Linked DNA regions of Mus musculus. The protein of the gene in region 1 interacts with the protein of each later gene in a pairwise test. Links are inferred from orthologs where the notes say so. Each region holds a gene or a part of one and is shown on either strand. Other genes may lie near its edges.

Region 1 (5,791 bases):
ATAGTTTCTTCACCATTCTCTCTTTATTGGGGGTACAGGTGGGAGAGGAGTGCTTTGTTTCTAGCCAAGATTTCACTCTGTAGCCTTGGCTGGGCTTAACCTCAGCCTGGCTCTGCCTCTTCAGTGCTTGGGATGAAAGGTATGAGTCACCAGATCTGAAGTTCTTCTAAGACAACCACTATTATGTTTTCTCTACTCCGTACAAAGTTTGTGTCACCTCTTTGTAAAGGTTTTTGGTGACTTTTAGAGTTCTTAGTCCTCTAACATTCAAGATCTGGCCCTGCCCATTTCTCCTCCTAGTCCCAGCTCTTGGGGAAATTACTGAAAGTGGGTTTTTGGTTGTGTGTGGTGTTTTTTTAAAAATATACAAAGGCTTTCTGTTGACTAACATTCAACAATGGCTGATAGAACAGCTCTTACAGAAAGCTTCATTTAATATGTCAAATTAAACTTTACTTAATTGAGAAGAATGTTTAAGCTGATTTCATGATAAACACTGATGCCCAAAACTTAGATACAATGTCTGAGGCAAGCTAGATTTTCTAACCACTCCAATGTCCCTTGTTTCTAAAAGCAATCACAGGCTTTTATTGTTTTCTTATAGCTTTATTGTTGTCAAATTTATGCCATCACACATGGCCTATCACACATTTAAGTTCTCATTTTAAACTCCCATCTTATTGAAGATACACTTTACAAACATGGAATATGCAAGGAAATTATTTCTGAACTCATCTGTACAGTGAAAGCAAAGATCTGAATGTCATATGAATAATAGGCAATTGGACACATATCTGTTTTAGTTAAAGATAAATCTTTAAAGCCAACTATGATCACCGCATGCAACGATAAATCAATGTGCTTATGTTTAAAAAAACAAAAAACAAAACACAAAACCTCTATCCCAACATGGTTGATTTCCTACTGACTGAATTTAAATTCAAGGCGTATAAATGCCTTTTCTGGAACAGGTTGAAGGGCTGGGCTGTCGGTTCAGAAGTGACACATCTCCTCTCCTCAGCCTGTAAGGCTCCTGTGGTCCTTTTCATCCTGCTCTCACCTGAATTCACCCTGCCCCACTCAAGTCTTGTCTGCACATGCCCACACTCTGTCTTACAGGTAACCTTAGGTATTGCTTGCAGGTGATGTGCAGTGTTGGGTGTTTCTATTCTGGACCCCAAACAAGCACCACCTCCTCCCCCTCAGCATATTCCCCCACCCCCTTCATTCTCATCTCAGACTTCTCAACTCTATGAAACTCCTCACTGAGTACCGTCTCATAAGATGAGAAACCTTACCAAAGACACTTACAGTTACCTGCTACTCTTCCTGGACGGCACTCAATCTACTTGGTCATCTTAGTTCTTTCAATGCTAAAATACTGAAAGCCACACATGACAATGCCACATATATACTCATCTAGAAAGCAGTAAAATAGGTTCCAATGACCATATTCTTCTGTGAAGTCTTTTCTCTGAATAGGAGCCACTTAGTTATTTTCAGCTAACATAAAGACTATATAGCAATTTTTTAAGTCCAAGACACATACTGACACACGCACACAAAAGCAAGCTGCCTGGTTTCTTATCTTGTTCCTGCACTAGTTAATAAATAGTAATTCTGAGGGCTAGAGATAAAATATGTAACAACTGCACCTCACAAAGAGCTTCACCTCACTCCTCCCCACAACAACTCCATGGGCAACACACACATTATTCCTTTTAAATTGAACTCAAGTTTTCTTTTACTGTAAAACTAGTTTAAATTAAAAAACCCAGCCCCTCAGCTTTCCATATCACAATATATTTAAAGTCTGAAATAGGTTTTTAGTAATTATTAATCTATTGTATTATGACTTACATGAACTACCCCACTTGGGACTGTATTTTTTGGGTTTATGAACAATGATTAGATATCTCTAATGACTGGGGCCTCTCACTTATGAAGGGAGTTTGGTCTACACAGTCAATACTGCAACTCCCAACAAGAGGAAAAAGAAAGAAAACGTCTCCTTTTAAAATGATACACATTAAGCACTTGATAGAGGCATATAGCTAGACTGGGGTGTTCAAGAGTATTTTTTCTCAGCTAATACAAACAACTAGAACAATTAAGTTCTACTCACATTGATGCTATAGGTCAACAGCAGCGAAAGAACCACACTCAAGATTTCATAAAGCACAATGGTGCATTTTCCCCACTAAGGTTAAGTCTTGGCTAATTTTACTCTTCTATTTCACTAGAAAGGGAAGAAAGAATTTTATAAAAACTATTTTGAGTCACCACTGCTTCTTTGAAAAAGCCAGGTAGGAAGCCCACTTTATTTACTGAGCCTTCTCAAGCTGAAAAGCAAAACAAAGCCTTGGAATGCCAGCAGGACTGCTGACCTAATTCTATAGCCCTCTTTCTCAAGAAACCTTTCAATGGTATCTGAGCATTAATATGTAATAAACCAGAGCTGTACTTTTGAAAAGATCAAGACTAGAGGCAAAAACCTGTTCACAATTCTCTAAGTCACATGTGTGGGAAAGAAATTAAGCTTTCAAGGGGAACCCCTGACTCAGACCTTGTGAAAAGCTGGAACCATCCTGATGGAGACACACTCATGCAGGCAGGAAATGACCAGAACCCCTTCATACCCTTAATAGAGGCTATTTAGAGATAACTTCAGTTTTCTTCATAAGGAAACCAAGGAGACAGTAGAAACCACCTGGTCTTTCCTTGGGAAAAGCCACAAGAATTTGAGAACTTCTCTATAGCCTGCCCATGGAAAACATGCAAACACCTACCTGGAGCTGCAGCAAGAGCCTAAGAGGTTAGCATGTCCCTTTTACCTCTTAGGAGAAAGTACAATCTGTTAACTATACCCTTCAAAACCAAAATATAAACCAGTACTTAGGAGGAAAAAAAAAAAAAAAAACTCCACAAAACCTATTAGGCTGAATAAAATCTAGTGATAAACAGATTAAGCAAGAAAAGCAGAAACATACCTAAAACATTATTATTATGAAGTGGATACCTATCCAATTTTAAATGTTCTTAGTTACATAATTTTAAAATAGGTATATGATTTACCTTCAATATAGCAATTTTCAACCTTGGAAAAATGGCAGTCATACAATCTATTATATAAAGAAACAAATAAAAATGTACCCAAAGCAAAAGCTTTTTAAGTAGGCTGTGATCTCAGTTGTTTTTATCTTAAAATGGGTTAAATCTTTAAAAAGCTTGAAAACACCTTGAAGAACAAAAAAAGTACAATTTAGAAAACTTTTCTATCAATAAAAATAGTCTTAAAGGAATTCTAATTTGCAAGACATAGTGACTTTTAAGCATTTGGGAGACCAAGACAGCAGAGCCAACAACGTGAGGTTTAAGCCTAGTCTGGGCTGTAAAACAGATTCTGCCTTAGAAAAATAATTGATTAGTCTTCTATTAGATTTTACCCTCAAAATTTTCTTAGTAAAAAAAAAAAAAAAAACAAAACAAAAGCAAACAAACAAAAAACGTATTATTTTTTAAAATAGGAAATCCACACAAATGTACTGTTTAATCTCTTTAGCTCCTAGAAGCAAAGTATTTCAACACAGTAGGTGCCAAATACTTAAGCACTTGTAAAACCTGGAAAGCCGAGATTGAGATTATTTCATTGGTTGTTAACATTCAAAGTTGACTTACAACAAATAAATCCACACAAGCAACTGCAATCCAGTTTTCTCCAGGACTCATTCTATTATACCGGCTAATCCAGACAGGAACTGGCTCTAGACAGTCCATACCACATATATTTATGAGTATCAGCTCTAGTGCTACAGAAACACAAACCATCAAGTAATGTTTTTCATTACTTTACAGAAACGTTCTACAATTGTTCCATAGCACCTTTTAGATGACAAGTTCTAATCTATGTAACAGCCAATTTCTAAAATGCACCAGAGGCCCTGTGAAGGCGCCCGTGAAGCTGAGGCAGATTCACAGACTCTTTCTTACCAGTACATCGTTGCAGATGTCACGCAGCTCCGTCTCGATCTTCTCTCTGTATTCTCGAGCCATCTGCTGCTTTTTCTCAGCACCTTCCGTCTTCTGCTCAATACTTGAGACGACCCTCCACGATGACCTACGGGCTCCTACAACGTTTTTATAAGCAACAGAGAGAAGGTTTCTCTCCTCATTCGACAGCTCAGCTCCCTGCTCAGTGACAGACTTCATGCAGGCTGCCATGTCATCATATCGCTCTGCCTGCTCGGCCAGCTTGGCCTTCTGCACCAGCTCATTTTTATCCATAACTGGATATTCTGTAAAGGGAAGAAGAAAAACATTCAGAAAACGCCTGTGAAAAATACATACTCATACCTGTCATAAGTAAATAAATAAATAAGGCACACCAGTACCTCAAACCAGCTTGAGCAATTAAAAGGCAGCCCCCAACCCCAACCAACCAGAAAACTAGCCTAGTCTGCATATTAACAGTAGGTTGTGAAATTAACTGCGCGTTCCACCTGTTCAGAAGATTCCAATTTCAAGTAAGATCAAAGCATATATGGACACCAGTTCCTTAAAAAAAAAAAACCCAAAACAAACAAACAAAACAAAAAAAAACCCACCTTTAAGCTGCAGGGCAGGGGGTACAAAACCAGAGACCCACCTCTACTCTCCTTGGCCAAAGATCCCTAGATCCCAACGACACTAAATGATGTACACCTGAGCAACTTTCCCTCTAGTGTGCATGCAGGAATGCGCATTGGGGGTGCGGGTCAGTTTAGGGACCGGGACCTACAATGCCTATAAGCATACTTCCAGAATCGTGAGTCATGTCAGTGTAATTATATTCTAGCTTTTTAATGTATATACTCTTATCAAAGAGCCACTAAGTTTTATTTTATTTAGCACCCTCCCACCCTGATCTACTACACTTGTAACATTTGCCAGCTGATCATGGTATAAAATTATCTGAAGAAAACTGCCTAATTGCTGCTTAAACTATCTTAAACACAATACCACCAGGAATCACTAAGCCCAAGACCAATCTGTGTCTAAACAGCGTCCTATGAACTCTCGCCTAGCACACAGGCACACTCACTTCCTACTCTGAGTGAGCACTAGGGCGTCCACAGCACATGGAGGGAGCCAAGCGCTTCCGATGTCTGCTGCCTGCTGCAGTCTGGAGTCACGGCAGGATTTCTAGCAGTCACAACTCCTCAAGCTGGTCTTCCTCATATTTCCCCAGTTTTCTTTCGCTCAATTTTAAAGTTCCCTAGATTCCAATTTACTTCTCATTTCTTCAACAATTCCAAGAGCAAAATTCTAAATCATATAGTGATCCCACAAAATACACTTTAATGAAAAGTCACAACCTGAATGCACTAAGTGTAGGAATAAAGAGTCACTGCCGCCCACCATGGAAATTCTTTCCTTTACCTTTCCAGAAAGGACCTCTTTTTGGTAGCCAAATGAGCAGTGTCCAGAACAGAAACACGGATAGGGCTAGCTTAAATTCGAGACACAGTACCTTCCGTGCATTAACTATTTAAAATTTGTGAACCCATACTTCCCCCGGGGTCTCGAAATCTAACATTAGAAACGGTCACTGGTAAATGTTGCTTCCAAAAATGATGTAAGCCTAAGTCAGTACAAACGTTCCCCCGCCAACCTCCCGGATAAGGGGAAGTGGATTAGGTTTCTCACAGGAAAACGAGCGCTCCTGGGCCTCGCCTTCAGACTGCGGGAATACTCGCCGCACCCACTTAACCCTTGGCTGCCTGAGGCCGGAGGGTGGGGCGAACCGAAACCG
Region 2 (5,791 bases), on another chromosome or scaffold:
TTCAAACCTAATCTAGAGTATGTGGTAATAATTAATATATTTCTATGGAAGCTGTCTCATGCCTCATAAGCGTCTAAGATAAGACCCAGGTCACTATGGCCTAACGGCATCGCTAACAGAAGAATGGAAAGTTCACCAGTCTTCAGCGTGGGTCCCCTCCGTCCTCCACGAGATCAGACGCAATGCCTCTGGCTTGTTGGACCCAAGGCAGCTGAAGAAACCACCTCTTGAACAATGTTCTAGAGCATTCAGTTCCCAGTCTGTGTGTTCAGTTAAAGTGATGGTGAAAGGACCACCGGACAAAAGGCAGAACATCCATTATCCAGCAGGCCATCCCCCAGCAATCCCAGAGAACGTAGTTATCATAGCAGAGTTAACAAAGGAATCTGTCTGCGGTTCGGGTTCTTTAGAGCCGGCCGTGAAGAGGTCAGCAACCAACGTAAGAGCAGCGACGGGCAGAGAAAAGCGGAACAACGATGGACACTGGTTCATCTGTTTTCTGTGTTAGCCAGAGAACCCCCACTGACTTATCTGAATTTCAGGCGTGCACATCTTAGGCTCTGTGGATCCCTCACAGACTCAGAGTGGCTCCCTGCAGCTCTATAACCACGTGAGAAAGCTTTCTTTATCTAGCTTGGTGGCAGCCAACACAGACTCCACGTCCAAGATTTCGGAACTCAGCGCTTCCTGCAGACTGGGCATCAGCTCCTCCCCTTCTATGTTCATTGCATCTCCTTCCAGTGTGCCAAGGTCCACATTTGTCCCAGGGAGGGCTTCCAGGTAGTCGGGGAAGCGGCTCTGCTGTGACGGCAGGGTGCTTTGGCTGATGGTGTCTCCTAGTTTTGAGGAGGGATGAACAAATGTTCTGTGAGAAGCGTCAGAGCTGCCTGTGTGAGCGTAGCTATACCCACACCAACTGAAGCACACAGTGTCAGAGCTGCCTGTGTGAGCGTAGCTATACCCATACCAACTGAAGCACACAGTGTCAGAGCTGCCTGTGTGAGCGTAGCTATACCCATACCAACTGAAGCACACAGTGTCAGAGCTGCCTGTGTGAGCGTAGCTATACCCATACCAACTGAAGCACACAGTGTCAGAGCTGCCTGTGTGAGCATAGCTATACCCATACCAACTGAAGCACACAGTGTCAGAGCTGCCTGTGTGAGCATAGCTATACCCATACCAACTGAAGCACACAGTGTCAGAGCTGCCTGTGTGAGCGTAGCTATACCCATACCAACTGAAGCACACAGTGTCAGAGCTGCCTGTGTGAGCGTAGCTATACCCACAGCAACTGAAGCACACAGCGTCAGAGCTGCCTGTGTGAGCGTAGCTATACCCATAGCAACTGAAGCACACAGTGTCAGAGCTGCCTGTGTGAGCGTAGCTATACCCACAGCAACTGAAGCACACAGTGTCTACCTTAGAACACCACACACAGAGATCACTTGGTAGCAATGCCAAGTCTCACGCGTCTCACCACTTCACAGACATGCAATATAAATATACAGCCTGGCTGCTTATCACAAAGTGTTAACTGACAGGCTATGAAACTTCCTTGGAATATGCAGCAGTGAAAAATGAAAACCACGCCTTCTTTCTTTCTCCTAGAAATGCACCACCATTTCTAGGTAGTCAGCATGTCAAGATGCAGCACCTTTTGTCTTAAGTTGTACTCCGGGACACTAACATTAAGCACTACAGACTCATACAGGCAACAGAAGAACAGCATTCCCAGGAGTCCTTGAAGACATGTGACCTCCCCAGACTTCTTTCTAAATTTCTTGCACTTACTGCCCAGAGCGCTTTTATCTATCCATGATATTAGCACTTCTTGGAGCTTTTGCCAGAACTTATATTCAGAAAAACAAACAGCCTTAAGTGCTACAAGGGGGCTGAAGAGGTGAGACATGACAGTTGGTGAGAGGGGCCAGGATGGGGCTAGGATGAGGTAGGCCCAAGTGGCTCCTAAACAGGATTTCTGATCTATGTAAACTCAGAGGAAGCAAGCGACAAGTTCTCAAAATCTCACCTTCATGTGTCAGATAAAAGCCGGCATGAAAGACTTCTGACACTGTGGAGAAAATGCATCCCTGTTCTGTGCTCTCCTCAGCCAAGGCAAGGAGGTCTTAGCTCCTCAATGCTTGTACAACTATTTCAACCATAAAGTCTAAGCCCCCTCCCCCAAATATGGTTTGCTAGCCCTGTAATACCTTAAACAACTCAGCTGAACCCAAAGTATTCAGAGAAAAGAAATAAATAGTGGATCACAAAAACGTATTAAAAATTAAGAACACAGATCTAAAACAAAAGAGTTCTAATAGGCCCAACTAACATGTTAAAAGAAAACAGGGTCAAACAATGGGCATGGTGGTGAGTGTCTGAAATCTCAGCATTCTGAAAGCAGAGCAGGAGGGTCACAAGGTCAGCATGGGCCACGGCAAAAACCTCATCTCAAAGGAAAACCCAGTGTGTCAGCTTGTGCCTGAATCCTAGAACTCAGGAGCCTCTAAGCTCCAGGCCAGCCTGTCCTAGCTACACTGTGACCCTGTCTAAGAAGGAAGGGAGGAGAAACACAACTAGTGATTATGTGCAGCCGAAAGGGAATCAATACTTGCCTGTATCCATTTCATCCACACTGTTGAGGAAGTCGTCTGGGGTCCGAGGGATGCTGTAGCTGCTCATGCTGAGGCCGCTGTCTGTGCTCTCATCTCGAGAGTGATAGGTGCCACTAGGAAAACAGTGAGAAGGCACGGAAAAGTTCAATCAACTCAGGGCAAAAATAAAGATGTGTTAAGCATGACCAAGATTGAGAGGAACAGCCAACAATCCTTGCCTTGCAGTGCCTCTGCAGAGCCCAACAGCCTCTGTACTGGAATCGGACAGATACACTGATCCTAACTAAAGTGGCAGCTGCTAAAGACAAAGCCATCTAAAGGTTCTGAGCTTGGAGAGAAAAGAAAGTGACAAGTCCCATTAACTATTTTGAAGCTTGGGGTCTCCAAGGTCTCAAGTCCCTCGGCCGAGGGGTCAAACCTGCATTAGGCTCATGCTCACTTTCCAGCTCCCAAGACGCCCAAGTTAAGCCATGGACAGCCCAAAGAAAGAGCCAGAATGTCTTTTTGACAAAATAGTCAACTCACTGGAGATAAAATTCCCACAACTAGATCTTCTTGCTTCTGTTGGGGGAGGGAACACCCCAACACCTCAGCACAGCTAAGAGGCCCAAGCTTCAGAAGAGAAGGGAGGTAAAGCAGAGAGAGGGCCTTCAGGAGAAACAGGAGGCAGCATGCATTGTTACTTAAGGCTGAATGCAAACTCTCAAGATTGATTCAAGAGCAGCAGAAAACAGCCTTGAAGCTTCCTGAAGAGGATACTTTCCTAAGTTATGACTGAAAATAGCTGCTATCAACTGGAAACCTAAATTCTACTAATACTAAAACCAACCAGCAAACCAGTAACCCCCACAACTCCAAGGGCAATCGCTACTCTTACCGGCTTCTGACCACAAATGTAGACTGGCTCTCTCACATGATGGACATTTAAAGTGTTTGTTAAAAAAAACAAAACCCTTACCAGATCCCAGCCCAGCAGTACAAATGTTTGATCCCAACCTTCTTCCTAATTAACTGTTCAATGCATTTGGTCCGTCCTCTCCTTCACTCTACATGATAAACACTGTTTTATGCCAACGACTCTGAAAAATTCAGCAGCCTCATATAAATCCAAGAAACATAAACTTGCCTGAGACTGTTGGTATATAACACAGCCATGTATATATTAGCCCAGGATGCCTGTTAGCTTCTACCGTGAATGGCAGGGACACTGTTCCCACATAGGGACACACAACAGACATTTGAGTCTGTTAAGCAGGTGACTTTAGACAAACCCCACCCCCAGTCCCAGAGAAGGCACAGAGGAGCCCACTGTGATGTACAGATAGTTCTTATTGTTTTCTTGGCAAAGATTGCTCTCCACTGAATCCCAACTAATTAATGCTGGCCCCTCACGCCCCTGAGCATCTAGGATAACCTGGCAGGCACCAGAGCAGCTCAGGGGACAAGGGGTTAAGATGTTTAAAAAATATAAACACATACACCATGGAACCACACCCCTGAGCTGTAGCAGCAGCAGCTGAGGGAGTGAAGAAGGGCCACTAACGTTATGTTTTAAAATTTTGGGTGGAGCATAGCATTCCCCCATCCTTCACTAACATCCTTGGGGGTAAGATGCTGTCTCTGCTTGCTTTTACAAAAAGGCATTCACTCTATCCTTCAAGACTAATTTTTACAGGCAGAAATAAGCATGTTGTGGCTTTGACCGAGATCCCTGCACAAGCCTGAACAGCTAGTCCCCTTTAATCCTTAGCTTTGACTGTGCTTGGCACCTGTGGAGAGATGGTTGACAGCTATGGGTTTTGGCCCACACGGATGTTCTACACAGCCATAAATCTCAAAGCAGAACAACAAAGCAAGGGTCTGTTCCAGATACTGGCCAGCATTCTCACTAACCTGTTAAGAAAGGGATCGGAACTATTGGTTGTCATTGTTCTCAATTCCTGAGACATCCCAGGAGAAGACACTGCATTCGGAGTCCCTCCATCCTGCTCCAGTGTAGGCAACTGGCTGCGCAGAGCTAATTCCTTAAACAAACAAACAAACAAAAGTAAAGAGAAAGTCTGCTGATTTACAAATTTATTGTTAGATTTAAAAGAGATACACAATACCACAAAAGGGGTAAATAGACACAAAAAAGGTAAAACATTAACATATATTTAAAATATTTTCTAATTAGAATAACCAATTTCTTCTATGCATTTTAAGTGCATAGAAGAAAGTAAGCTGGCCAGGCAGTGGTGGCGCATGCCTTTAATCCCAGCACTTGGGAGGCAGAGGCAGGCGGATTTCTGAATTCGAAGCCAGCCTGGTCAACAGAGTGAGTTCCAGGACAGCCAGGGCTACACAGAGAAACCCTGTCTCGAAAAAACAAACAAACAAACAAACAAACAAACAACCTGCAGACACTAACCCTCAAACACACATATAATTTATTCCATCTTACTATTCTTTACTTGCAAAGACCCCCAAATTTTCCCTTGGGACAGTTGGGCTTTAATGACAATTCTTAGATTTTGTTATTACTTACCGGCTCTGAAGGTTTGGGGCCAGCAGTGAAAACAGAATGGAAAGAACATGTGTGATTTGCTGTTAGACACCAGTCCCCCAACTCCCCACTGCTCACACCAAGTCTTACTGTCTTAGGGACTTCCTCCCAGAACTAAATAGAGCTGTGTTCTCTCCTCTGGGGACGGCGAGTCTGGGTTAACATTTCTTCAGGGATCAAACAGTGCTCAACAGAATCCTACCTGGAAATCTGCCTGCCACAGGCTGATGACAGGCCTCAGAGGTGCTTCATTCAGACATTGTGGACCAGGGTCTCTCACCAGTGCCCTCACCACCCTACCCTATAAATCGTGGGTTTGTTTCCTAAGCAGATGTCACCCCTGCTTGTTTGTGCACAGGCTTTTGCACTTGGTAACTGACTTGCAAGATGGAGTTTTCTATAAAGCATGCTTCCAGGTCTCTCTGCAGTTTCCCAGGCCCAAGGCTGCCTTTAAGGCACAGCTTCCTCCAGCCCCTCGAGCCACATCTTCACTCAGGGCCCAAGCCAGCAACACTTCTATTATACGTAAGTACACTGTAGCTGTCTTCAGACACTCCAGAGGGCGTCAGATCTTGTTACAGATGGTTGTGAGCCACCATGTGGTTGCTGGGATTTGAACTCCGGACCT

Evidence for each region. The genes of interacting proteins can lie anywhere in the genome.
Region 2: the proteins of Ywhaz (region 1) and Yap1 interact in binary tests that used the Homo sapiens proteins (3 or more experiments, as listed by UniProt). The link is inferred for Mus musculus from reciprocal best matches to the Homo sapiens genes YWHAZ and YAP1.

What each region holds. Positions count from the first base shown.
Region 1 is NC_000081.6:36,786,694-36,792,484, forward strand, and holds part of Ywhaz (14-3-3 protein zeta/delta), read right to left. Parts: intron 4,296-5,791; 5' UTR 4,285-4,295; coding exon 3,991-4,284; intron 1-3,990.
Region 2 is NC_000075.6:7,933,897-7,939,687, forward strand, and holds part of Yap1 (transcriptional coactivator YAP1), read right to left. Parts: intron 4,643-5,791; coding exon 4,512-4,642; intron 2,732-4,511; coding exon 2,619-2,731; intron 837-2,618; coding exon 601-836; 3' UTR 1-600. UniProt on the Homo sapiens protein: Transcriptional regulator with dual roles as a coactivator and corepressor. Critical downstream regulatory target in the Hippo signaling pathway, crucial for organ size control and tumor suppression by restricting proliferation and promoting apoptosis.